7 linked regions of the Macaca mulatta genome follow. The protein of the gene in region 2 interacts with the protein of the main gene of each other region in a pairwise test. Links are inferred from orthologs where the notes say so. Each region holds a gene or a part of one and is shown on either strand. Other genes may lie near its edges.

Evidence for each region.
Region 1: the proteins of SGTA (region 2) and TMUB2 interact in binary tests that used the Homo sapiens proteins (3 or more experiments, as listed by UniProt). The two-hybrid records come from large-scale screens. The link is inferred for Macaca mulatta from reciprocal best matches to the Homo sapiens genes SGTA and TMUB2.
Region 3: the proteins of SGTA (region 2) and PBXIP1 interact in binary tests that used the Homo sapiens proteins (3 or more experiments, as listed by UniProt). The two-hybrid records come from large-scale screens. The link is inferred for Macaca mulatta from reciprocal best matches to the Homo sapiens genes SGTA and PBXIP1.
Region 4: the proteins of SGTA (region 2) and FERD3L interact in binary tests that used the Homo sapiens proteins (3 or more experiments, as listed by UniProt). The two-hybrid records come from large-scale screens. The link is inferred for Macaca mulatta from reciprocal best matches to the Homo sapiens genes SGTA and FERD3L.
Region 5: the proteins of SGTA (region 2) and TMEM174 interact in binary tests that used the Homo sapiens proteins (3 or more experiments, as listed by UniProt). The two-hybrid records come from large-scale screens. The link is inferred for Macaca mulatta from reciprocal best matches to the Homo sapiens genes SGTA and TMEM174.
Region 6: the proteins of SGTA (region 2) and CSF1 interact in binary tests that used the Homo sapiens proteins (3 or more experiments, as listed by UniProt). The two-hybrid records come from large-scale screens. The link is inferred for Macaca mulatta from reciprocal best matches to the Homo sapiens genes SGTA and CSF1.
Region 7: the proteins of SGTA (region 2) and FXYD7 interact in binary tests that used the Homo sapiens proteins (3 or more experiments, as listed by UniProt). The two-hybrid records come from large-scale screens. The link is inferred for Macaca mulatta from reciprocal best matches to the Homo sapiens genes SGTA and FXYD7.

Annotation. Positions count from the first base shown.
Region 1 is NC_133421.1:68,558,580-68,562,670, reverse strand, and holds the start of TMUB2 (transmembrane and ubiquitin-like domain-containing protein 2), read right to left. Parts: upstream 2,801-4,091; 5' UTR 2,415-2,800; coding exon 2,380-2,414; exon of another isoform or gene 2,215-2,379; coding exon of another isoform or gene 2,113-2,214; exon of another isoform or gene 1,101-2,112; coding exon 534-1,100; exon of another isoform or gene 189-533; intron 1-188.
Region 2 is NC_133424.1:3,534,765-3,538,264, reverse strand, and holds part of SGTA (small glutamine-rich tetratricopeptide repeat-containing protein alpha), read left to right. Parts: intron 1-1,068; coding exon 1,069-1,168; intron 1,169-2,615; coding exon 2,616-2,720; intron 2,721-3,500. UniProt on the Homo sapiens protein: Co-chaperone that binds misfolded and hydrophobic patches-containing client proteins in the cytosol. Mediates their targeting to the endoplasmic reticulum but also regulates their sorting to the proteasome when targeting fails.
Region 3 is NC_133406.1:112,054,648-112,058,147, reverse strand, and holds part of PBXIP1 (pre-B-cell leukemia transcription factor-interacting protein 1), read right to left. Parts: intron 2,529-3,500; coding exon 2,295-2,528; coding exon of another isoform or gene 2,264-2,294; intron 2,168-2,263; coding exon 2,144-2,167; intron 1,875-2,143; coding exon 1,792-1,874; intron 1,699-1,791; coding exon 1,567-1,698; intron 931-1,566; coding exon 1-930. UniProt on the Homo sapiens protein: Regulator of pre-B-cell leukemia transcription factors (BPXs) function. Inhibits the binding of PBX1-HOX complex to DNA and blocks the transcriptional activity of E2A-PBX1.
Region 4 is NC_133408.1:109,145,727-109,148,201, reverse strand, and holds FERD3L (fer3-like protein), read right to left. Parts: upstream 1,135-2,475; 5' UTR 1,082-1,134; coding exon 581-1,081; 3' UTR 501-580; downstream 1-500. UniProt on the Homo sapiens protein: Transcription factor that binds to the E-box and functions as inhibitor of transcription. DNA binding requires dimerization with an E protein. Inhibits transcription activation by ASCL1/MASH1 by sequestering E proteins.
Region 5 is NC_133411.1:79,529,641-79,533,454, forward strand, and holds the end of TMEM174 (transmembrane protein 174), read left to right. Parts: intron 1-1,634; exon of another isoform or gene 1,635-1,766; 5' UTR 1,767-1,788; coding exon 1,789-2,414; intron 2,415-2,604; coding exon 2,605-2,710; 3' UTR 2,711-3,314; downstream 3,315-3,814. UniProt on the Homo sapiens protein: Regulator of plasma phosphate homeostasis. Decreases serum inorganic phosphate (Pi) uptake by regulating the sodium-phosphate cotransporter SLC34A1 trafficking by PTH and FGF23 in the kidney.
Region 6 is NC_133406.1:130,284,104-130,287,603, forward strand, and holds part of CSF1 (macrophage colony-stimulating factor 1), read right to left. Parts: intron 3,023-3,500; coding exon 2,900-3,022; intron 1,658-2,899; coding exon 1,595-1,657; intron 1-1,594. UniProt on the Homo sapiens protein: Cytokine that plays an essential role in the regulation of survival, proliferation and differentiation of hematopoietic precursor cells, especially mononuclear phagocytes, such as macrophages and monocytes.
Region 7 is NC_133424.1:46,411,551-46,415,559, forward strand, and holds the start of FXYD7 (FXYD domain-containing ion transport regulator 7), read left to right. Parts: upstream 1-1,209; 5' UTR 1,210-1,289; coding exon 1,290-1,320; intron 1,321-4,009. Other genes in the region: FXYD1 (phospholemman), read left to right, coding at 438-487, 673-695. UniProt on the Homo sapiens protein: Associates with and regulates the activity of the sodium/potassium-transporting ATPase (NKA) which catalyzes the hydrolysis of ATP coupled with the exchange of Na(+) and K(+) ions across the plasma membrane.

The sequences.
Region 1 (4,091 bases), on a different chromosome or scaffold from region 2:
CCTTGTGATCTGCCCAAAGTGCTGGGATTACAGGCGTGAGCCACCGTGCCCAGCCTCCCTCATCTTTATCCTTAACTAATGAAGAGTGTATTTGTTTTGTTTTGTTTTTTTGAGACTGAGTCTCACTCTGTCACCCAGGCTGGTGTGCAATGGCGCAATCTCAGCTCACTACAACCTCTGCCTCCCAGGTTCAAGCAATTCTCCTGCCTTAGCCTCCTGAGTAGCTGGGATTACAGGTGTGTGCCACCACACCCAGCTAATTTTTTTACTATTAGTAGAGATGGGGTTTCACCATATTGGTCAGGCTGGTCTCAAACTCCTGACCTTGTGATGCACCCACCTTGGCCTCCCAAAGTGCTGGGAGCCACCGCGCCCGGCCTGAGGGGTGTATTTCTAAGAAAGTATCTACGTGCCCTTAGTAGGGGCTGGATCTTATACTTCCCTGCAGCTCCTACGTCTGCACCAGCCTCCTTAGAGGCAACCAAGGGCTGGGGGATGAGCACAAGCAGCTTCCCACTTCCCAGGCCACTCACCTCTTCAGGGCACCCACGGTATCCTCTGGCCTAGCCACAGCCAGCTCCTCGGTATCATTGAGGAATTTGAGCCGTACAGTGATGAGGCCAGGGCTGGGAGGGAGGCAGGTGCTATCCTCAGATCTCAGGGGGGCCTCTGGACTGCTGCTGTCTGCACCTGCTTGTCTTTTGGGCAGGCCTTGGATGTCAAGGAGATGCTCAAGGCTGGGTTCAATACCACCCCCAGCTCCAGCTTCCCCTGTGGAGTCTCCCCGACCTTCACCAGCCTCTTCAGCCTTCTCATCATTACCCTCTGATGGATGGGGGAGTTCAGTTGGCTCGGGGTTGCCTTGGCCTGCCACCAGGTGGTCCACATGCCCCAGGTGGAGGACGGATGTGTCACCTGCTGACACAATGGCGCCCAGGAGCTGGTTGCTACCGCTGTCTGCTACGTAGGTAGAGAGCCAAGCTAGGACCAAGGCTAGAATCAGCACCACCACACCTGTCACCACCATCACCTCATTACCCACACCCTCAATGAGGGTGACATCAGAGAGCTCCATGGCCTGGCTGCCGGCAGGGTCCACGCTGCAGGAACAAAGGGGGACAGCATCAGCAGAGCCTGAGGGGTTGCAACCAGGTCTCTAGTTTGTTTAGGTTCTAACTGACCCAGCCCTGAAAAACAAAAGGAGTTCAGTGTTCTGTAGAAGGGGGCACAAACCTTCCTAATTCTGGCACCCCAACGTAAAGCTAAAGACCTATCGTACCCTTTGCCTCTATTGTGAAACTCTTGCTTTCAGGTTCTGTGACCTTCCTCTCTCACACTCCAACTTCCCAATGAGCGTGGATCAGCAGGAAAAGCCCACAGCCTTGCTGCTGCTGCTGCTACTGTTGTTGCTTTTTTGGCGAATGAGGAAAAACCTTTGCTGAGGCCTGAGTTTCTCTAGGATTCCTATCACTTGGTCAAGCAAATATGTCTCCTAAGCAGCCTCCAAAGTGGCTTCAGAGAGACCCAAAAGTCTGGAATATTTTACTGCGGGGCCCGCTTAGAGGCACTGTTTAGCCATCCCTGCCGGATTGTCTCATTTCAGCCTATTTCATTCCTGGTCACAGATCCAGGCTGCCAGATGTCAAGAGTCAAAGAAAACTGACCTACCATCAAAAGCAGAGTCAGACAACCTCAAACGGGCAACTCTGTAGGGGTCACGAGCAGACACTATGCAGCAGACATTATATGCCACCTCTGAAACTTCTGGCAAGCCCTGGGGAGCAACATGGGACAGACACCAGAAGCACCACCCTCCTGGGTCACCATGGGCCCACTCCTGCAATGACCACTCCCCACGTGGAAGTGATTTGAAAAAGATTCCATAACAACTCTCACAATCCATATCTCAGTCTCTCTTCTTTCACTGTGAAGGTTCTGCTGCTGCAGTTTCTTAGAAAGGCAGGAAGGGTCCCTGCTTGATCCCTGGAGTACCTACTATGTCCTTTGGAGAATCTGCTGCTTTCACAGCTGTCCCTGGGCAAATCCAGTCTGGTGATTATCATTATCAGACTATTCTCACAGCACCTATAAAACTTCATTATACTTATCTACCTCTCCATCTCTCTATTAGACTCCTGGTAGACAAGGATCGTATGTATTTCTCTTGGTACTGAAGTGTCCAATATAATGCCCCAGTAGTTGCTCAAAGAATATCTGTGGAACACATCAACATCCTTTTTAATATACTGGCCCTGGAGTTAGAAAAACAACAACTAATTATAACCCCAGTCTCGCGTCTTACTAGCTATATCACCTCAGACAACTTTCTCAGAGCCTCAGCTTTCTCATCAGTAAAATGGGGTTAAAAACAGTACCTACCTCATGAGGTTGTTTTGAAGATGACGTGAAATCATCGAAGCAAAATACTTAGCACAGTGCCTGGCACAGTGCAAACTGCAATTGCTCAATAAATGGTAGCAATTATTTATCACACCCACAACTAATCCCTGATGGCAAGAAGGTTAATGTCATTAACCATGATTTACAGAAAAAGAAACTGCGGCGAAGAAAGACGAAAACGGCTGGCACAGACACAGGGAACTCTCGTGGGGAGGGGTCCAGCAGGACCCCAGGTGACCGGCCTCAGAGGTCTTTACTCTGTCCCTCAGCCTGTGATCTACCCTGTCCGTACCGTGACCGCACGGTGAGGAGGGGTCCCGCACCCTTTTTCTGAGGCGCAGGTTTCGCGTTTGGATGGTCCTATTCCCGCGGCGTTGGACTGGGGTCCATGGGCCCACCTGAACCGAAGGGCTGCCTGGCCCTGGCCTCCGTGATAAGCCCAGCTCTCCCGGCCCGTGAGGGGTAGGGTCGGCTAAGGGGGTCACAAACCGTCCACACCCCTCAAACTTCGGGGCGGGGCTGGGGAACTGGGGGCGGGGCTTGAGGACGCGGGGAGTCATGGGAAATTAAAGGGGGATTTGACCAGCACTGTGCCTGGATGGGGAAGTCCTCACCTGAAAAGGCCAGACTAAATGTTTTGACCTCGCCAGGACGGCCCCTGGACTCGTCTTTCCGTAGGGGTCGGGAAAAGGGCTGGCAATCTGCGATTCTGTTCAGGGTCCGGTCTCTTCCGGCTTCTCCCGGAAGCTGTTATGCCAGGGACAGGAAGTCCCGCCTCCGCGCCTTGCACTGATGACGCAAAGCTACGTAAGGCGGGCTGACGTAAAAGGTATTCTTTAAATAAAAGGGACAGGTTTCTCAGCGGAAGGAGGGGCGGAGTCATTGTTGGCGGGATTGCGGTCCTCCCAGAGCGGGGCCACGCCTGGTGGGCGGGGACTTAGACAATCCGTGTGAGACGCTGGGCCAGGGGGAGGAGTTAGCGGGGAGGTACTTGGGGAAAGGGGTGTGGCTTCGCGTCTGTGTAAGGTTGCCCGGGCTGGCGCCGCTGGGCAGAGCCGGTGCGACGTTTCCCTTTCCAGCCTTGTTCTTCGGTCCTTGCTGTCTGCCTCCCGGGCTGATTGGATTTGTTACTGCTTTGCAGCGCGCACCGAACTACAGGTTAGCGGGATTAGTAAGAACTCAGCTCTGGGCCATTCGGGAAGACAGATAAGGAGACGAGTTAGTCAACATCCAGTGCTTGAAGAGTGCAGCCCCAGGTAGCGTGGGACCCCGAGAAAGAAGGCGGGAAAGCATTTCAAAGAAGGCACAGATTCAGCGCAGGCTTAGGGCACAAAAAAGGGGAAAAGTCCAGCTTTCAAGAACTTATTCGGATTTTTGCAATTAAAATTTTTTCTTTTTTCTTTTTTGAGACGGAGTTCCGCTCTTGTTGCCCAGGCTGGAGTGCGATGGCGCGATCTCGGCTCACTGCAACCACCGCCCCCCGGGTTCAAGCGATTAGTACTGCCTCAGCCTGCCGAGTAGCTGGGGTTATACGCATGGGCCACCACGCCCTGCTAATTTTGTATTTTTAGTAGAGACAGGGTTTCTTCCTGTTGGTCAGGCTGGTCTCGAACTCCGTACCTCAGGTGATCCGCCCCCGTCTTGGCCTCCCAAAGTGCTGGGACAGGCGTGAGCCACCGCGCTCGGCCGCA
Region 2 (3,500 bases):
AACAGCTTAAATGCTTGTCCACAATAAATAGTCAGTGCAGTGTGGCCCGTCCACACAGTGGAATGTGGATGGGTGAGGCTCTGACCCAGGCCCCAGTGCAGATGCACCATGAGGACATCACGCTCAGGGAGAGACGCCAGACACAAAAGGACACACAGCGTGTGATCCCATTTCTTTCTTTCTTTCTTTTTGAGACCGAGTGTCTCTCTGTTGCCCAGGCTGGAGTGCAGTGGTGCAATCTTGGCTCACCGCAACCTCTGACTCTCTGGTTCAAGTGATTCTCCTGCCTCAGCCTCCCGAGTAGCTGGGACTACAGACGCGCGCCACCACGCCTGGCTAATTTTTCTATTTTTAGTAGAGACGGGTTTCACCGTGTTGGCCAGGATGGTCTCGATCTCCTGATCTCGCGATCCACCTGCCTCGGCCTCCCAAAGTGCTGGGAGTATAGGCACGAGCCACCGCGCCTGGCCTTATATTTTTAAAGCATAAGCTTTGTGGCCTGTAAATTATATCTCAGTAAAACTGTTTAAGGAAACACGCTGGTACCAGTCTTCCCCCAACACCCTCCTGAATTGGGATCTCGGGGGTGGGAGCGGGTTTCTGTCTTCAGAGCTCTCAGTTGGTTCTAGGATAGCAGCCGGGCTTTTTACTGTCCTGCCAGCTGGGACCCATGCCTTAGATAGAAGCCACATTGCTATGAAATTAGAAGGTATCAGGAGTTTTCTAAAATTCAGGCCTCCGCTTGGGCTCTTTCCAAAAGAAATGGCAAAAGGGACAGTTTCGATCCCTGGGCCGATGGGCTGTATTAACAGTTCTGTTCCCAGGGGTCACCATCCAGGCAGCGAGAGCCACCATCCATCGCCAGGCCAGGCCCTGCCGGCCCCACCTCCATCCCCCTTAGTGGGTGTAGAGATGACCGTTTGTGATTAGTGAACCCCCCACAGATGCAGACGCCTCCTGCCCACGGCTGTGTTGAGCCCTAGGTGCCCCGAAGAACCCGGTGTGAGGCCGAGAGCCCCCGCGGGTCTGTCTGGACGCCCGGGCCAGTGTTTCCCCCTCTCCCTGTAGGAAACGAGCAGATGAAAGTGGAGAACTTCGAAGCTGCCGTGCATTTCTACGGAAAAGCCATCGAGCTCAACCCAGCCAACGCCGTCTATTTCTGCAACAGGTGCCAGCTCGGGGCCTGCCCAGGGCGGGGGCGGCCGTGTGCGGGGCGCCCTCCGGGATGCTTGGCAGGGGCCTGAGATGGGAGAGGCCTCTGCGCTCTAGATAAGGGATCCGTTCACCGGCGGTCCCAGACCCAGAGCAAGCATCAGGCGGCCAGCAAGGGGGTCAGGGAGAGTCGACGCTGACGTTAAGATCAGGTGGCTCGCCCAGCACTCTGGGAGGCCACGGGGGGAAGATCACTTGAGGCTGGGAGTTGGGGACCAGCCTGGGCAACATATCAAGACCCCTGTCTCCACAGAAAACGTAAAAACTAGTCTGGGGGCCGGGCACAGTGGCTCACGCCTGTAATCCCAGCACTTTGGGAGGCCGAGGCGGGTGGATTACTTGAGATCGAGAGTTTGAGACCAGCCTGTCCAACATGGTGAAACCATGTCTTTACTAAAAATACAAAATTAGCCGGGCGTGGTGGTGTACACCTGTAATCCCAGCTACTTGAGAGGCTGAGGTATGAGAATGACTTGAACCTAGGAGGCAGAGGTTGCAGTGAGCCAAGATTGCGCCACTGCACCCCACCCTGGAGACTCTGTCTCCAAAAAAACCCGAAAAAAAAAAATTAGCTGGACGTGGTGGCGCACGCCTGTAATCCCAGCTAACTGGGAGACTGAGGCAGGAGAATCACTTGAACCCGGGAAGCGGAGCTTGCAGTGAGCTGAGATCGTGTCACTGCACTCCAGCCTGGGCAGCAGAGCAAAACCCTGTTTCAAAAATAAATACATACGTACATACATACATACATACGTACGTACATACACACATACATACAAAATCAGGTGTCACGGCGTTCCACGTGGATGTCAAGCCAAGAAAATAATCCGGTATGTGGAGGGTTGAGGTTTTTTTGAACGTGTGGTCTGGGATCTGCTTCAGGCTTGCAGAACAGTTGCAGAGGGAGTGCAGGGTCCCTGGCCGCTTGTCACGGGGTAGTTTATTCTCCACTTACGCTTCTCCGTACTTTGAAAAAGTCGTAAAGAGAAACACTAAACACGAAAATGGTGAAGACGATTCAGATGCTGTAAGCCAAGAGCTTTGAGCTTTGACATTGGTCTGAGTTCTTTTTTTACTGATACGTAAATAATTTGTCAACGAAACTTGGGTGTAAGTTCCCACACTCATTGCTCTTGTGCAGCCATGGATTGGAACAGTTTTTGCAAATAAAATTCAGAGTCGCAGTCCCAAGTGGCTGTTGGTGCCTTGAGCGCGCATCTGTCTAAGAGCATCTCAGTGGCTGCACCTCTCAGCTTTCGCCGTCAGCCCTATTTTACAGAGGGGGAACCTGAGGCCGTTCCTCCAGGAAGCGGAAGAGGAACGCAGCTCTCAGGCTCCCCTCCAGGGCTGCCTGCTGGGCTCAGAGCCGCCAGTGAGGGACCTGCCCTGCCTTTCTTCCCCAGAGCTGCTGCCTACAGCAAACTCGGCAACTATGCAGGCGCGGTGCAGGACTGTGAGCGGGCCATCTGCATCGACCCCGCCTACAGCAAGGCCTACGGCAGGATGGGGTGAGTGCCTGTCGCATGTTTCCAGTCTCTCGGGGCTCCTCCTCTCCTGCTCCTGCTTCCTCTCTTGTGTGGCTTTTTCCCCCACCCACAACCGATTCTCCCCCCACAGTTCAGTTCAGCTCTGACACTAGCCGTTCGGAGCCAACGTAGCCCCTACAGGTCGCAGGCTCAGCCCCACAGACGCCCTGCATCACGTGCCACTCGGAGATCCCCGGGCCCCTTGCTTCTCCCGACTGGCTGTCCACTGGGGTTCCCGTGGCCCCTACTCGGGCTCCATTGTTTGCTGGGGCGGCTCACAGAGCTCAGGGAAGCACCTGGTTTATGATGAAGGACACAGGAGGGGTCTGAGGGCGAGGCCAGGAGGGTCCCCGGGGCAGGAGCCTGTGCCCCGTGCCGCTGGTGCCACCCTCCCAGCATGAGAAGCAGTTCATTCGCCTGCTTCTGTGAACGCCCTTGCTTAAAGTTCGTGGGACTGGGTCTCCCCGGAGGCTGGGGAGGATCCTGTTCACCTGCCCAGTCTCCCCAGGACCTGCCTCCTTCTGGGCTCTCTAGGGGCCCCAAGTCATCTCAGTAGTGAAGACTCAGGTGGGAGTCAGGGGCTGCTTGTGGACGACAGGAGACACGTCTGTCACTGAGTTCCCAGGGTCCTCGATGCCCTGTGCCAGAAAGCGGGGCCAAGACCACATCCACGCGTTTCCTGTGACCCTGAGCCGGCCCGCTCCCTCCTCTCAGCCCGCTCTGGGCTTTGAGGCCTCGTGTGCGGCCCCATGGGGACGCCAG
Region 3 (3,500 bases), on a different chromosome or scaffold from region 2:
AGTCAGGCCCTCCTGCCGGGCACACTCAGCCACACCTGAGCAGCCCTGGGGTGCCCGGTACTTGGGCCTCAACAGCTCTGCCCAGGATGGCAGGGGGTCATGGCTGTCCTTAGCCCCTTCCCTCCACCGAGGTTGCTTCTGCTTTTCTCCAGAGGAGTGGAAGCTACCACTTTTCCTTGGGGGTTCCTTCAGGCCCTGTCGCTTGCCCTCCTTCTTGCTCCCCCACTCCACCCTTGGCCTGCCCTCCTTCCACCTTTCTGCCAGCTCCCTGTCCTCCTGACCTCCCCTATTCTTCTTCCGTTCCCGGCCAGATTCTTCCTTCTTATGGTTCCAGTGCTCAGCTTTCCGGTCCCTCTGCCCATCCCACCACTTTTCCTTTCCACTCCACTCCCTGGAATTCTGGAAGTGGGGCTTCTGGTGCCAGGCCTCTGAGGCATTGGCAGAGACCCCAGGGTCCTGGCCCCAGTTCTCCAGGCTCTGCAGTTTCTGGGCCAATCTGTGACCCAGCTCAGCCAAGCCAGCGTGAGCTGGGTCCCCATGGCCGGCATCCTTCAAGCTCCTCTCCAGGTCCTGCTGTACAGACCCCAGCAGCCGTCGCTGCCTCTCCAACTCTTGCCTTAATGCCTGTGCCTCAGCCTCCAGCTGTTCCTTCTGCTTCAGGAAGCTGAGTTCTGGCTCCTGCTCCCTGGGGCCTTGCTCCTTGATGGCCTTGTCACCCTGTGGGCCTCTACCCCCACTGAGGCACACTCCATCCATGCCCCGGACACAGTCGGCCTCCAGCCCCTGGAGCCGGGCCCGCAGCTGCTGCAGCTCTGACTCCAGAGCCCGCTGGAAGGCTTCGCCCTGCTGCAGAGCGCCCCGGAGCTGGGCGTTCTCCTCCTCTAGCCCTTTGGGCTGGTGCATCAGGCTCTGAAGCTCTTCCTTCTGGGCCTGGAATATGGTTTGGGATGAAGGAAGTCACAAAGAGTTCTTGTCAGGATAGCCCCAATGCTTTCTACCCCAATTCCATTCCATTATAGCGGGCAGTAGCCTGAGCCCCTTTTATGGCCTGGAACACCCAGAGGATTTGGTTTTCATCCTCTACCCCATCTCCATCATGAATGAGACACAGGGATCCCCAAATTCCATCTTGGGTCTCGGCACATATATATGTATATATGTCTTTATATAAGCACACACTTCCTAGATTCACCTAAGGATAGCCAATGTGTGGCTCTCACGGTTTTGTTTCCACTTCCTATACCTGGAACAGTGTTAACTGATCATGGCACTTGGCATGTTCTTTAAATCCTTTTCCACACAGTGCTCCAGGCAGACTACACCAGTCAATCACAGGTGATACCATGTATGTTTCACGTACCATGTGGAACAGGTATGCCAGCCCTGGACCAAACCTTAGCACAAGGGATGTGAACCCAGAACTGGGAAAATGCCCTGACTATAGTGGGAGAGGGGAGGGTCAGGATGTGTGGGTAAATAGGAAACATTCCTTTTGGGGGAGAATGCTAGGACAGACACCTGGCCTAGGTGGGTTACCCTAGCCCAGCCCCTCCTGCCTATGCCCACCTGCAGCTGGGCCTGCAGTAGCCGGATGTCCTGGTTCTCCTTGGCCAGCTTGTCCAGCAGAAGACCCATGTTCTGCAGGCTGGGGACATGGTCAGGAGGCACTGAGGACTGCAGCTGTTCCCTTAGCCCATCCTGAGGGCAGAAGAGCCTGTTATGCCATGCTACCCCACAGCCCAGGTTCTCCCCAGCCAGGCCCCACCTGCCTCTGGAGATAGTCACACATACCTGCCTGTCCCCCACAGCATCCAGCAGCTCAGGGTCTGACCCAGTGTCCGGGAGGACCTGCAGCTCCACTTCCTCCATGGGCCCTGTGGGAAAGGGAAGTCCTGAAACTGGTCCTGAGGCACACAGAGCCCATTCTCCCCACACCCTCCCATTCACACAGTCACCACTCCTGTTCAGGACCCATCCTGTGGCTGAGAGGTCTGGTGAGGTAAAGAGCCAAGGGGCACCCTGAACAGCTGACAAGGCCACTAACTGAGAAATAAATGTGAGCCCCCATCACCCCTACTCCTGACCCAGAGAACCAAAGAACACACAAAACCTCCCAGCACAGGCCAGGCCCCTCCCTACTCACCAGTCTCAGACTCTGAGAGGCCACCTAAGGATAGAGACAGAGGAGTCTGATGAGGCCCTCAGGGAGGGGTGAGGTGAAATAAGGTGAGAACATGGCAGGAGGGCAGGCAGGTGCGGAAGCCCAAAGCCCCAGCCTCAGAGGTACCACTCACCCGAGAAGAGGAGGACCCCCAGGCCCAGCAGAACCAGGGCCCCGAGGAGGCACATGTTGAGGGAGATGCCCAGCTCCCCGCCTGCACCCTCCCCCCCGGCCTGGGTCTCCACAGCCAGGGGCGCCACGGGCTGAGGTGCGCCGGCCTCCCGGCCCCGCCGTCTCCGCAGACCCTCCACGTCCACGTCGGTGTCATCCTCACTGCTGGAGCAGCGGCCCTCCTCTCTGATCCAAGCTAGGGGAAAGAACAGGGACAGGGCAGTGAGGTGACTGGAGAGACGGGAAGACACAGGGAGAGGGGGAAGCAGAGGAAGGCACAGGGAGGGAGGTCCTCAGCCCTGACCCCAGAGAGGGGCACATGAAGACCCTGCCCACTTGCCCACTTCTGCCTAGGCACTGATGACTGCCCCTGCCCAGTCTGGAGGCAGGAGACCAGTGCTGTCAATCTACAAGCTATAAAAGCCATTTTCATCCTGAAAGTATCCTCTTTCCTCAATGTGTGCCGTGCATCAAACCTCTGCAGCTATTACCATCCTCCTGGGTCCCCTCCAAACTCTCTGGCCACTCCTTCCCATTCTCCCTCCCTGGCTCTTCCCTGATCCTAAAGTCGGTGGTCTCCCTAGCACCATTTCAGGTTCTCTGCTCTTCTCACTGTACACATAGTCACAACTCTCTCACCACCACTGACACCCCGCTTCAGCAATGAGTCCTTAGTGTGTAACTCCTGACTTGACATCCCAGAGCTCCAAGCCTGTATGTCTGACTGCCTACTGGCCACTCCCTCTGGGACCAAACATTCAACACGCTGCCCTGCAAACTGGTTCTTTGCTAGTGTTTTCCCAATTCAGGGGAAGGCACCGCTGCCACCACCTAGCTAACCTAAGCCCTCCCTTTCCACCTCACATCCAATTTCACAGTTCTACACTGAAACATCTTGACAGTCCACCCCTGTTCACAACCCACACTGTACCTGCGTTAGTTCAGATCTGCATCTTCTTTCTTTTTTTTTTTTAATATTTTTAAATTTTTATTTATTTTTATTTTTTGAGACAGGGTCTGGCTCTGTCGCCCAGATTGGAGTGCAGTGGCGCGATCACAACTCACCGTAACCTCTGCCTCCCGGGCTCAAGTGATCCTCCCACCTCAGCCTTCCGAGTAGCTGGGACTATAGGCATGCATCTTTACGCCCGGCTAATTTTTTTTTTTT
Region 4 (2,475 bases), on a different chromosome or scaffold from region 2:
TCCCTCAGTTCCTGGACAAGCATCGGAGGACCAGACAGAACCCTCTGGCTACCAGCAAAGCTCGCATCCCCGCACCCTCGCGGCGTCTGCTCCAGAGCCTCCTCGCAGGCGCCTGCTGGAGCGCCTGCTGGGGATGGCGCACCACCGACTCTTGAGGCTTTTTAAAAAGTAAGAATTTCTACTTTATTATCTCTATGAAAAAAAAAAAAAGTAAAGAGGAGAGGTTAGATTCTATAGAAGCTCCCAAGTTTGCCATTTGCGAGGAGGGTTCTCTTCCCACCCACCTAGCCCACGGAAGCTCTTAGGAGCAGCCTGGACGGCCCGGACTCATCCTCTCGCGCTCTGACATCCCCGCGCGCCCCTGACCCCGACTTCACTTAGGGCGGTCGCATAGATATGAACTCTACAACAGCCACTCTGCTCGGGGACTTTAGGGATCTTACAATCTCGAAACCGACCTCCAGAAGGCCAGACGTTCTGTCTTGGGGCGTCCCTCCTGGCCCTTTAGCCTCACCCAGTACCCGGTCCTGACACACCCCAGCACTACCAGACCAGGAAGGGCAGACTCTCCCCACCCGGTTCAGCCGCTTTCCTTCTTCTCACAGCTCTCCAAGAGCTCGGTCATGAAGGAGATGTAGACGATGGCCAGGCGGAGGGTCTCGATCCGGGACAGCCTTTTCTCGTAAGCAAACGTGGGCACCTTCCTCCGCAGCTGGTCAAAGGCCTCGTTGAGGTTGAACATTCGCTTCCTTTCGCGGATGTTGGCGGCCTGGCGCTGGGCGTAGGTGATCACCCTTTTCCTCTTGGGGCGGCCTAATAGGGAGACGCCTCTCCCGCGCTCCTCTTCCTCCTCCTCTTCTCCGTCCCCCTGGTCCACTTCGCACTCCTCTTCTTCTGGGTCCCCCTCTTCAAACCGCGCCATCCTCCTGGGTCTTCCTTCTCGGAGCGCAAGGGCTGGATCCCCAAAGGAGACCCCGGGTGCGAAGTCGCAGAGGAGAGGGCGTCCCGGGGAGGCCAGGGACAGGTCTGCGACGAAGTCCAGCACCGTAGCGTCCACGCAGCTCTCTGGATAGGCCGCCATCGCTTCGGCTTGGCCCTGCCTCTCATCGGTTTTCCGCAGGGAGGGGCGAGGCTGCTGGTGGAGATTCTTAACAGCCTTGAATCTGATGGGGCACCATCACCGAAGGGCCAGGGAACATTAAATATTTATAACCGAGCTGATAACAGGATTAGTCGCACCGATAAGAAATGCTCTGACAACGTCCCTTCTCTCGAAGCTTATGGAAGATGACAAGCTTGAGCACGCATGGAAGACTCAAAGGGACAGGCCTCCAGTTCTGAGATCCTTTTCTGTGCGCCACCCGGGACAGTTCCTTGTTGGCAACAACCCCCAGCTCTTACCTGCTGTGCTTTTTGTGTCTGTCTTCACCCCTGCAGCCAACTAATGTTCTCCGGGCTCCTTATCTCGTGTAGTTCTTTAATTTCGTGTTGGATTTTCAAAGCGAGGATGTTTTCCACGGCGATGGCTTCTCCTTGACTTCAGGATAGGAGTCTTGAATCTTGCCACCATCTGCCAATGGATGTGGAGCAAGTGCATGTGCTTTTAATGATGTCCTGAAGAGGGGCCCTGCCTGCCTGGGATCGAGGGGAGCTGTTTGTCTGGTATCCCAGTGCAGCGGCTGCTGAAAGGCAAGACCTTCCATTAGCTTAAGTAAGCATGGCAGGGGGGCCGAGAGTGCATTCCCCAGAGTCGCTGTTGGAACCGGCTTTCTTTTTCTTTCCAGGGCATCGCAAACAGCTCTCCTGCCACGTTACAAACCCTTGCTTCTAAAGTCTGTTTGGATGCAATCAGCCTAACAATTGAGATACTTGACTTTCCTTTCCCTACCTTTACCTCCTGCTCATATAAAATAGAGGATTTTATTCCAAGAGGAAACGTGATGACGGCAATAAAATGACAAATTTAAGCTCAGGACATTTTCTATGCTCGGGCTTTGCTGTATACCTTTCAGTGTGGGGGACAAAGCAAACTCTCCCCACAAACAAAACCACTTCAAGCTCTTTTCAGAAATGCGATTTGCCCTTGATAAGCCAAAGAGTCAATCAGTTCACCCTCTGCTGAGGAGTCTTCGGACTTTTAAATTGCGGATCGAGTATTTGTTCCTGAACAAAGAAAAAAACCTAACACTTCCATCTGGCTTATTTTCCTCATTGATTTGTATTGTCCTACAGTAAGATTTAAGAGCAGAAACAATGACTTATTGAATTATATTTAAAGGAGCTTTTTGATTATCGTTAGATCGTTGAGATAAGAAAGAGATTTTAAATTTGGCATAATAAAAATAAGAGTTTACTCATTTTATATTTTCTCTAGTATCCCTAATATTTTAACAAAAGGGTCCTTTTTCTTTGTTTGTCAATAACTATATTTACTTAATTATTCAGTAATGTGTAAAGATTTATTTAAAAGACCCA
Region 5 (3,814 bases), on a different chromosome or scaffold from region 2:
AATAATGTCAGGCTAACTTACCAGAAATTTATAGTTAAAGAGAAAATCTGGCTTTCCTGGATCTCTGATCTAGCTCAGTGGGAAAAGGCAGCCTGTTCGTATAGCAACCCCACTCCAGCCTTGCTGCTCTAAGGCACATCCAGTAAGATACCTCAGGGGTCACCTGCTTGCTTTCCCATCTGTTTGGCAGTGAAGTAGGAGATTACAAGCCTTGTCCTGTAGCAGGGAGAGGGATTTTCATGGGGAGAAAGTCCTCTGGTCTCCTAGAAGCATTTAGGGTTAACCTGAGGTAGGGTTTCCTAAGATTTCTTAATGATAAATCACCTGAGGTCCTTCCCTTGGATATTTGATTCTGTTGATCTGAATTGGGAGCTCACATTTTGTCCTTTAAAAAAGTGGCCCACATGATTTCTTTGTCAAGGGAAGTTTAGGGAGCTCTGCCTTGGGGCAAGATGGCAGCTCTCTCAATTCTGCAAAAGGGAACTAATATAATATTTAACTACTGCAGAGAGCATCTGCTTGGATAAAATCTGTCTAGGAAGGAAAGAAGGCTACAGTTATTATTCGGTGGAGGAGGAAACTCATGGGGCTGTTTGGAAGTTTTGCAGTCATGAATGAGATAATGTTATTGAAAATTAAACTGTCTTCTCTACATCAACTTGTGTTTGGTTGGAAAACAGCAGGCTCCAAAACACAGCTGGTTGTTTCACCTTGGAGACCAGGAACTGTGTGGCCACCATGGAGGGAGGGTCCGAAGCATGTGTCCCAGTGAGCCAGGTCATACCTGATGCTTATTCAACCCCTGGCAGTGATGCAGTGCATAGAAAGGTTTCCTACGATGTTGTTCCTCTCCCAAGGCTAGAATTACTCCCCAAATGCAGAAAGCAAAAGGCGTATGGGGTTGGCCAGAAAAGAACAGGATCTTAGGGCTTTGTGAGAACTATTATTGAAGTTTAAGTATCATCACAGCTAGGGGTTCGTGAAGTAGATAGGAATACACATGCGGTCAAGAAATAGGTGTCTGTCTATTCCTAATGAGCTGAACCACTGGGAAAATCAGGTTAGACTCCTGTGCATGTGTGGATATATCAAGGGCCCTGTTCACTGCTGGAGACCCTTGAGGGAGCTCTGCCATTTCTACAAATCTGTGTTGGGGAGGACAAAAACAGGGTCTTATGGCAGCATCTTAAATTGCTACAGAAGAGTACCTCCTGGGGCCAAGGCAGGAAGATCACTTGAGTCCAAGAGTTTGAGACCAGCCTGGTCAACATAATGAGACCCTATCTCTACAAAAAATTTTAAAAATTAGCTGAGCATTGTGATGTGTGCCTGTAGTCCTGGCTACTGGAGAGGATGAAGTGGGAGGATCGCTTGACCCAGGAGGTTGAGGCTGCAGTGAGCTATGATTGTGCCACTACATTCCAGCTGGGTGACAGAGTGAGACCCACGCTCTAAGAAAAAAAAAAAAAAAAAAAGAAAAGAAAAGAAAAGAAAAAGAAAGATGGACTCAATAAGTTAATTTTTGAATGTGTGAATGAATGAATGTGAATTAGAGAGACAGCTTGTCATTGACTTGCAAAACAGAGACCTCCACTTGTTGACAATACATGAGAAAACTTCAGGCTTCATTTCTCAGACCTTTATTCTTCTAAACAAGGTCCAGCCCTCTGTGTGTTACACCCTGTTAAGCACAAGCCCTGAGTTCTTCTATAACTAATTTGGACCTGTGATTCCTTGGCTCTCACAATCCTCTCCACTCTAAGAAGCTGGGTGAGGCCACAAGGAGCAATGGAGCAAGGCAGCGGCCGCTTGGAGGACTTCCCTGTCAATGTGTTTTCCGTCACTCCTTACACACCCAGCACCGCTGACATCCAGGTGTCCGATGACGACAAGGCTGGGGCCACCTTGCTCTTCTCAGGCATCTTTCTGGGGCTGGTGGGGATCACATTCACTGTCATGGGCTGGATCAAATACCAAGGTGTCTCCCACTTTGAATGGACCCAGCTCCTTGGGCCTGTCCTACTGTCGGTTGGGGTGACATTCATCCTGATATCTGTGTGCAAGTTCAAAATGCTCTCCTGCCAGTTGTGCAAAGAAAGTGAGGAAAGGGTCCCGGACTTGGAACAGACACCAGGAGGACCATCATTTGTTTTCACTGGCATCAACCAACCCATCACCTTCCATGGGGCCACTGTGGTGCAGTACATCCCTCCTCCTTATGGTTCTCCAGAGCCTATGGGGATAAATACCAGCTACCTGCAGTCTGTGGTGAGCCCCTGTGGCCTCATAACCCCTGGAGGGGCAGCAACTGCCGTGCCGAGTCCTCCTCAATACTACACCATCTACCCTCAAGATAACTCTGCATTTGTGGTTGATGAAGGCTGCCCTTCTTTCGCGGATGGTGGAAACCACAGGTATGGCGTGTCTACTGGGGGAATGCACTCCTTCTAGCCATCTCCATCGTGATCTGTGGCTGTTTGGTCCATGAATAAGGTGTTGGGAGACTGCGAATCTCTGCTTAGCCTGTTGCCCACGATGGCAGCCTTGGTTCTGTGAATGGTGCTTTGGACCATAATGTACCTGTGTTTTCTGCTCACATTTCAGGCCCAGTCCTGATGCTGACCAGGTAGAAGAGACACAGCTGGAAGAGGAGGCCTGTGCCTGCTTCTCTCCTCCACCTTACGAAGAAATATACTCTCTCCCTCGCTAGAGACTATTCTGATATAATAATACAATGCTCAGCTCAGGGAGCAAGCGTTTCCGTCATTGTTACCTGACAACCGTGGTGTTCTATGTTGCGACCTTCAGAAGCAACAGCAGTGCCCAGGCAGCCTGACAGAGATCATTCAAAGGGGGAAAGGGGAAGTGGGAGCAATGTCTCAGACTGGTAAAAATTAGACTGGCCCGAGGCAATTTTCCTCTGGAACAGTTTCAGATTCCCTCGGGTAAGAAATCTCCTGTGTAAGGCTCAGGAGCAGGAATTTCACTTTTTCATCCCCCACCTTCCCCCTTCCCTGTAGGAAGGCATTGGTGGCTCAATTTTAACCCCAGCAGCCAATGAAAAAATCATGACTTCTGAGACTTTGGGAGTTTCCACAGAGGTGAGAGTTGGTGGGAAGGAAGCAGGGAAGAGAAAGCAGGCCCAGCTGGAGACTTCCCGGTGGCTGTCCTTGGCCCCAAAGCAGACTCACTAATCCCAAACAACTCAGCTGCCATCTGGCCTCTCTGAGGACTCTGGGTACCTTAAAGGCTATAAAACAAAACAAAACAAAAACATCAAACCAATGAAATAACATAAAGCATGTCTCCTGCTAGAATAGTATTGGATACCTGGCTAAATTACACAAAATAGACCGTAATAGGATAACACTGTGTATAAATCCTTCCCTGATCACTGAGTCACAGTGACCCCTGGCTGCTGCTATTCTCTTCTGCAAGGTTGAAGCTTGACTTGTGATGTACCTGGGTGGGCTCTTGGTCCACCCCGGGCTGGGGCCTGCACCAGGCATGAATTAACTGGGCCCAGCGGCTGACAGAACACAGGACTTTCCTAAGTACCCGTAGGTCTGTGGAGCAAGACAGAGCAGAGTTGCCATGTCAACACATGGGGAATGATATGATAGAAACAATCTTTATGACTAAAAGAAACTCATCTTCTTCATTAAAATCTTTGGTGTCCTTAATCTCTCTGAATTTGGCTGTGTAATAAACAACTGGAACTGACTCACAGACTTCAGAAGAGACAGTTTAAAACCATTAGGTTTTAAAAGAAAATATTTGCTTTAGGCTTCAAAGGCAATGCCACTCAAGGTAA
Region 6 (3,500 bases), on a different chromosome or scaffold from region 2:
AAAACAGGAACCTGAGGCTTATAGCCTGGCCATTGTGGCCTGGGAACCCCCAACCCCAGGCAGATGGAGGGTTGCAGCTTGCTCTCCCCCTTCCCCCAGGGGAGGGACCACACCATGCCAGCAACGAGGAGAAAGCTGCCCTCAGCTTGCCTGTCTTTCTCTCTCTTTGGGATCTAGCACTATTGGAGACTGGGTTAGAGTGAAGGAAATGTGGATTCTGATTAGAGAGTTCTCTGGGTTTCTGGAATATGAGGTTTTAATCAGGATGGATGTACATAGGGAAGGTGGGCTCCAGGGAACCTCCCCCTGCCTTTCTTTCTGTCTTCCTCTTGGCTTCCTTTCACAAAAATCTTTTACCATATGGCCCCTTCAAATCCTCCAGGATATAGGGGGGGTGAAGACTATCTCATGGTACAAAGGATAACCTCTGTGTTTTGTCTCCCTAAAGAGATGGTAGTTGCCTTGAAGACCCACTCTGCTTTAGCTCCCTACCCCCAGCATCTAGTCCAGTAGGTTCCTAGCAAATGCTAGTTCAGGCATGAATGCTAGAGCAAGCGAGTGAGTGAGGCTATAAAATACTGAGGCTATTCTTTGGACCATGAGGTGGTCTCCAGTACTAACAGAGGTGCATATGGGTCTGGTGTGTGGAAGCTCAGAGACAGGGGCAACTTCTGGATACCATGGCAGTTTTGCATGAGGCATAAAGATGAACAGATGTGGAATAGTGACTGGGGGAGCAGGTGGAAAGGCATGACAGTCATTGGGAAGAGCTTGTGCAAAGATGGGAGGCAGGAAGGAGCAGGGAATGGAGAGGCGGTGTACAGGTTTATGTGGTGGAGAATGGCTAGACCTGGTGTAACCCAGGCTAGACAACCTTGGCTTTCTTCTGGAGTGATGGGGCCCCTGATGGTTTTGGGAGAGTGAGGTAAAGGCAGCAGGTTGGCGTTTCAGAAAATTCCCCCTAGTGGTAAGATGAAGAGTGAACTAAAAGCAGGGAGACCAGTTAGGAGGCTCCTGAAATTGTCCAAGCAACTGATTGAGGGGTGAAGGTAGGGATGGAGGAGACAGAACCCAGAGATGCTGAGAGGCAGAACCAGCAGCACTTGGTGGCTTGCTGGGTGTGGGGCAAGTCCAGGAAGGGCTGGACTGCCTCCCTGCCTGCTGGTTGGCCTAGTGAAAAGAAGTGACATCCTTAAGCGAAGCATGTGACCTGGAAGAAGTATTGATTTGCCTCAAGCCCTACAACCAACCTTCCTGGATTCAAATCAGGCCTCTACCACCTACTAGCTATGCTCCTTTCACCTCTCTGTGGATAATAAACAGTATTTGTGTACCACATAGTGGTACTGTCAGAACTAAATTAGCAAAGTGCTTGGTACCTAGTGAGCGTTTGTTATGTATCAAGCCAGGAGAAGGGAATGGCAGGGGACTTGAGCCCTGGATACTGGCACCCCAGAGTTGAGCACCCGTGGATCCTCACACTCTCAACCTTTCCAGCTGTAGGCATTCTGCTGCCTTCATGTTCCCACACACACCCCACCCTGGGAGTTGCATGCAGACTGGTACATGGATTTTGTAAACAGCTATCACTCACCAACTGTTCCTGGTCTACAAACTCAAAGGTAATTTGGCACGAGGTCTCCATCTGACTGTCAATCTGTAAGAGAGAGCAGGCCAATGATTGCAGGGCAACCTACAGCTCAACTCAGCCTTCTTCAGAACGGGGACCTTAACTTCTGAATACATTGGGGTTTGAACTTCATCCCTGCCAACCACATGTGGAAAGACAGTCAAGTCTAGGAGAAGATCAGTGCCTTCCATATGCCCAGGGGAAGGCTGTAGAAGAACAAGTCTTTTCCTTCCATCTGCCACCCCAGGAAATCTGACAAATGCCCATTTGTTTTAAGAAAGAAATGTCTATAGGAGAATATAGGATATAATCTTCCCTGGGAGGTAGTGAGCACCCTGTCATGGCAGGAATTCAAGCAGAGGCTGGACAAGCTCTGGGGACTGAACATCTGTAGGCGTTGGAGCTGGATGCCCTTAAAGCCCTCTTTAGCCCCAGAGCAGCAGTTCTGGGTTTTAAGCCTCAGAGAATGCTGGGGCTCTTGGTCTACCTTGGATTGCTACAGCAACTACATGCAGGAGAAGTAGCGCTAGGGCAAGAGAGGTGGAAGGCATAGCCCACAGGCCCCAAGCTCAGGGCCCTGGAGCTGGCCTTAGCCAGTGAGGCCCCACCCTGCCTAGCTGGCCAGAGGGATGGTAAATTCCCAGTGAGCAGGACGGCAGCCATGACAGCAACCTGATTCTGCCTGGGTGGACCACGTATGGGCCTGATTAGAATGAGATACGGGCTCCTTCATGGCCTAGACGAGCAGGCCATCCCAGCCTCAGGGTATGGGCAAGAGCCAGGGAAGTGAGGGTGGAAGGCTGGGAGTTAAGTGAGCACTTCCCCTCCAAATCTGGGTGGGGCTCTGATGCCAGACTGGCGCCACACATGAGAGTCCAGGAGCTAGACGCAACATCTGGACACAGCAGGCTGCCTGGGCTAGCTTCCCAGAGGAGGCATCCCACTGAGGGACAGCAGACCTCAGAAGCCTTTTCAGAATTAGTGGTTGATATTCCTGGGCAATCACTAACCCAGGCAAGCAGCTGGAAGCCCACCCCATCCACTGCCTGCAGGGGAGTCAGAGAGGGCTTCAGAGCTGGGGAGACCAGAGGTCCTAACTTTGGGAAGGCTAGTGAAGGACATCACTGGTGGAGCTAGTGGGAACCACAAGCAATGTCCTGCACTGCCCTATTTTCCTGCCTGCAACTGCTCTCTTTGACCTGCTCCCTGGCTCCTGCCTCCATTTCCCCAGTGGAGAGAAGGTAGAATACAGCATGGCCACGCACTCACCAGCCGCTGCAGAGACTGCAGGTGTCCACTCCCAATCATGTGGCTACAGTACTCCGACACCTCCTCGGTGATACTCCTGCTCGCCAGGAGACAGACCAACAACAGCAGGGAGCCCAGCCATGTCTGTGACAGAGAGGGTGTCATTTCTCCCCAGCCCTCACTCTCCCCAGTTATCCCCATGCCCTGCTCACAGCAGAAAAACAAAGGCCTCAAACCTACAATGCTACAGGCTCTGCCCCTTACCTCAGGATACAGCATCCCTCAAATCCAGCTTTCCCAGGATTTCTAGCAGCCACAGCACAACCTTGTTCTACCATGAAAACAACCCAAATGTCACCTACAAGAAGCCTTCCCAGATTAAGCCAAACCTAACTACACATTGAACTAATAGTGACACAGATGGTGTGCCTACCAGTCTAAATTTTAATGACACAGGAAACTCGAGGGCAGGACTTGCATCTACCCATTTTTTCTGTCTCTGTAACATCAACACTGAGCCAAGCACTTTTTGAACTGCCCTCAAGTTCACGTTCATGCACCGGCTTTCAGATGGCAAGCCAGAGACACCTCCCCTGGGCCCAGCACTTCCTCCCACCTGGTT
Region 7 (4,009 bases), about 43 Mb from region 2:
GTCAGATACGGTTTCACTTCCTCTGGGAGGGAGGTGCTGTTATTAAGCCCATTTTACAGATAAAGAAACTGAGACACAGGGAGGTAAAGTCACTTTGTTCAAGATCACTCAAGTGGAAGATGGGGGGTTCTGGGTTTCCAACCCAGGCCATCTCATGACAGTCTGCCAAGTCCCCTTGACTATCCCTCCCTTACCAACTTCACATCCCTGCCCCCAAATCCGCGGAGGTACTCACTGTTAACCGGCTTGGAAGCCCCCTGCAAAGCACTTAAGCTGCTCCTGGGTGCTTCTTATTTCTGGCGGACCCCGAGCCTGTTCTTCGTCCATATCTGGGCCTCGTTACACCAGTCTGGGAAAGGAGGCTTGTACTGGGGGTTCCTAGAAGGGCAGCCTCTCCCCCTTTCCATCCCGAAGTCCCTCTGCCTCTGTCTTCCCAGGACTGGGGAACCCGATGAAGAGGAGGGAACTTTCCGCAGCTCCATCCGCCGTGAGTCTGGGGAGACTGCGGGTATTTTGGGGAGAGGGCTGGTTCCAAGGACCCCTTTTCCTGGCCCTCCCCGGCTGCGTAGAGGGAGGGGCTGGATCTGAAAGCAGAGGGCGGGGAGTTGCCCCGCCTGCCCAGGAGCTGGGGATGCCCCTCCTGATGACCCCCGATCTCCGTGTTCCCCCCAGGTCTGTCCACCCGCAGGCGGTAGAAACACCTGGCGCGATGGAATCCGGCCAGGTGCTGCAGCTCTGACACGGCGGTGGAAGGGAAGGAGGGAGGAAGGAAAGGCGGGAGAGGGAAGGGGCCAAGTGCCAGGGTTGGAGGGCGGCGAGGGGTGGTGCTGGACTTCCCCCCTCGCCTTTCACTCACCCTTTTCACCCCACAGGACTCCCCTGGCACCTGACGTCTCCCACGCTCCACCTGCGCGCCCACCGCCCCCTCCGCCGCCCCTTCCCCAGCCCTGCCCCGGCAGACTCCCCCTGCCGCCCAGACTTCCAATAAAACGTGCGTTCCTCTCGACAGCACTTTGTCGGTCTCGGTCCCTCAGCGCGAAAGCCCAGCGCCCCTGGGCCCCAGCAGGGGGCGCCCCACCCTAGAGGAAGGGGCGGGGACGACGGTGGTGGGCGGGGGCGGGGGCGGGGGTGGCCTGCACGGGGGCGGGCTCCCCGGGCCCCCATTGGCTGCAGGCCCCCCCACGCCAGGGCTCCCCCCAGCTCCCCCCCATATCGGTCCGTCCTGCTTCCAGCTGCTGCAGCGCGCCTTCGCCGCCAAAGCATCCAGCAGCCCCCTGCTCCGGCCCAGCATGGCGACCCCGACCCAGACCCCCACAAAGGGTGAGCGTCGTCTGGGGAGGGGGTTGCAGGGGGGCTCCGGGATCTGAGAGCCTAGGAGAGAGGGTGTCGGGAGATTCCAGCAATGGTAAGGCAGGGGAGTGGGGGGAGGGAGGTCTGCTCCTTCTGTGGGCGGAGGCCCCTGTAATGCAGCCCCCCGATCGCCCCTCCGGGTCTCTGGGACACCCCCTCCCCGGCGGGTGTCCTGTGCCAGACCTGCGGTTGGAGAGTGGCAGTCCCGGGAGAAGGGATGCTCGGACAGGTCGCTATGGCAACCGGGTGGCTGGTCCCGCACCGTGGTGGTAGCAGACGGGAAGAGATGAGCTTGCAGGGTGGGAGCGGGTGGGTCTGCGGCCAGAGACGTTCTGGAAGATTTCAGGGTCCCTGGGGTGGGCAAGGGAAGGGGAGGAGGTTCATGTCCCTCTTCTTTCCAGTGCTGTCTCCTAGGGTGTGTGTTTCCTGAAACCCTTGACAGCCAGGTTCAGAGGAAAGGAGTGAGAGCTGAAGGAAGAGACAGCGAGAAGGGATATAGCAAGAGATGGACAGGGAGAACCTGGAAGAGACAGAGACCGAGAGGCAGGAGATCCAGAGTCACAGATACAAAGACCCAGGAAGACAAATAGATGGACTCAGAGAGATTCCCAGTGGAGGCGAGTGGCAAAGAACGGTAGACAGAGATGCAGAGAGAGAGAGAGAAAATGAGAGCCTGGGAGATAGCGGGAATGAGACTGCTATGGAGAGAGAAGCAGAGAGACGGAGGGAGAGAGACGGACCCATGGGGAAAGAGGGGAATAGAAAGAGAAGGAAGCAGTGTGGGGTGGGGCCCAAACCACTGCAGTGAACCCCCATGGGTGGGAATGGGGTGATGGGACCCTCCTTCCCAGCCCACAGCAGGGGTGTTTTCCAGTCCCAGAGGTGTACCTGGGTATGCACCTAACTGCCCCTACTGCCCCCATCCAGCCGCACACTGATTTCCATTCCACACCCATTAACCCAGTTATGCACCCAGTTGAACACCCACTTCCACCGTTGCCCCCTAATAGCCCCCATTGCTAAGCCTGCTTCTGCAGAGGAGCAAGGCACAGACTGCTTCAAGAGGGAGCGGGTGCCCAGCTAGGGTCTCCAGCACTGAGGGCAGGGGATGGACCAGGGGTGTTGAGAAGCCCCTGGCCGTGAAGGGAACCCCAATTCTGCTTGGATGACTCCCTCCCTTCCGTGCTTCCCAGAAGGCGGGGGCTGCTGCACTGAGCCATATCTGCAGAATCCGAAGCAGGGCGGGGGGTGGGGGGGGCTGCAGAGGCTGGAAGCCACCCTGGGGAGAGGGGGCAGGGCTGAGGCAGCAGGCCTGGCGGGAGCCCAGGGCTTCTTTTTGCAGAGGTGGTGGTTAACAGGATCGATGGCAGCAGACGGGCAGAGGTGGGAGGACAGACTCCTCAACCCCACCTCCTCTGCCTCCCCCTTTCCCAGTCACAGCATGAGAGGGGACCGCGGGTCTCGGGAAATCCCGGGGGAGGAAAAGCATGTTGTGCATTGCAAACTGCTTAAGGAAACTAATTAATGAATTGTTGGGGAGCGAGGGGGGAAGAAGGGAGATTGTCTCCCTCCGCCCTGCCAGAGAACGGGCGGGAGAATTAGGGGTGAACAGAAGAGGGATGCATGAGCACAGCTGGGTCCGGGTCCCTGTCCCTGAAATGGACCCTCAGCTTGGCCAGAAGCCAGTCCTGCAGGGGCAACAGCAGGAGGTGCAAAAGGAGGGGAGAGGGTCAAGATTGAAACCCGCATCTTACACAGGACCTCACAAGGGACCCCACCCAGCCTGGGATGCCGGGACCTATCACCTCTCTTCACCTCACGAGATGCCCCAGTTACCATAGCAACCACCTCCTTCCTGATATCTCCTTGGCAGCTGTCCAGGAGTAGTGCACATTCCTTTGCCTGACTCCTGGCCCCACCCTTAGCCCAGCCACGCCTGGGGGCCCAGGTTGCTGGGGCAGCAGGGACCAGAGGAGGATCTCCTGCATGGAACACCAGATTCTGGGACAGGTGCTCACCCAGTGGGCTCCTGATAACTTTGGGGAAGGGCAGGTGTGTGGAAAAGACTAGTGAGACAATCCACCTTTTGCAGCCTCCTGCAGCCTAGGACCGCCTCATAATCATTCCTTCATTCATTCATCCGAGAAAACTTGGAGAGCCTTTCATAAATGTCAGGATGAACAGCAGCGATGAGTCAAACAAATTTACTCACTCTCTGGTGGGGAAACTTACACAGAGCACAAGGGACCCTGAGGCAGTGTTTCACCATCTTGGTGCTTTTGAGTATTACCGTCACAATTTTCACTTTATTCAAATACTCCTCACACTGCTATTTATTTAATTTTTTTCCTTCAAATGATTAGCTTTTTTACTTTTATTTTTTGAGACAGGGTCTCGCTCTGTCACCCAGGCTGGAGTGCAATGCTGCGATCACAGCTCACTGCAGCCTCAAAGTCCTGGGCTCAATCTATCCTCCCACATCAACCTCCCGAGTAGCTGGGACTACAAGGCACTCCCCGCTACACCCAGCTAATTTTTGTATTTTTTGTAGAGACAGGTTTTGCCATGTTTCCCAGGCTGGTCTCAAACTCCTGGGCTCAAGCAATTCACCTGCCTTGGCCTCCCAAAGTGCTTAGGATTACAGGCGTGGGCCACCATG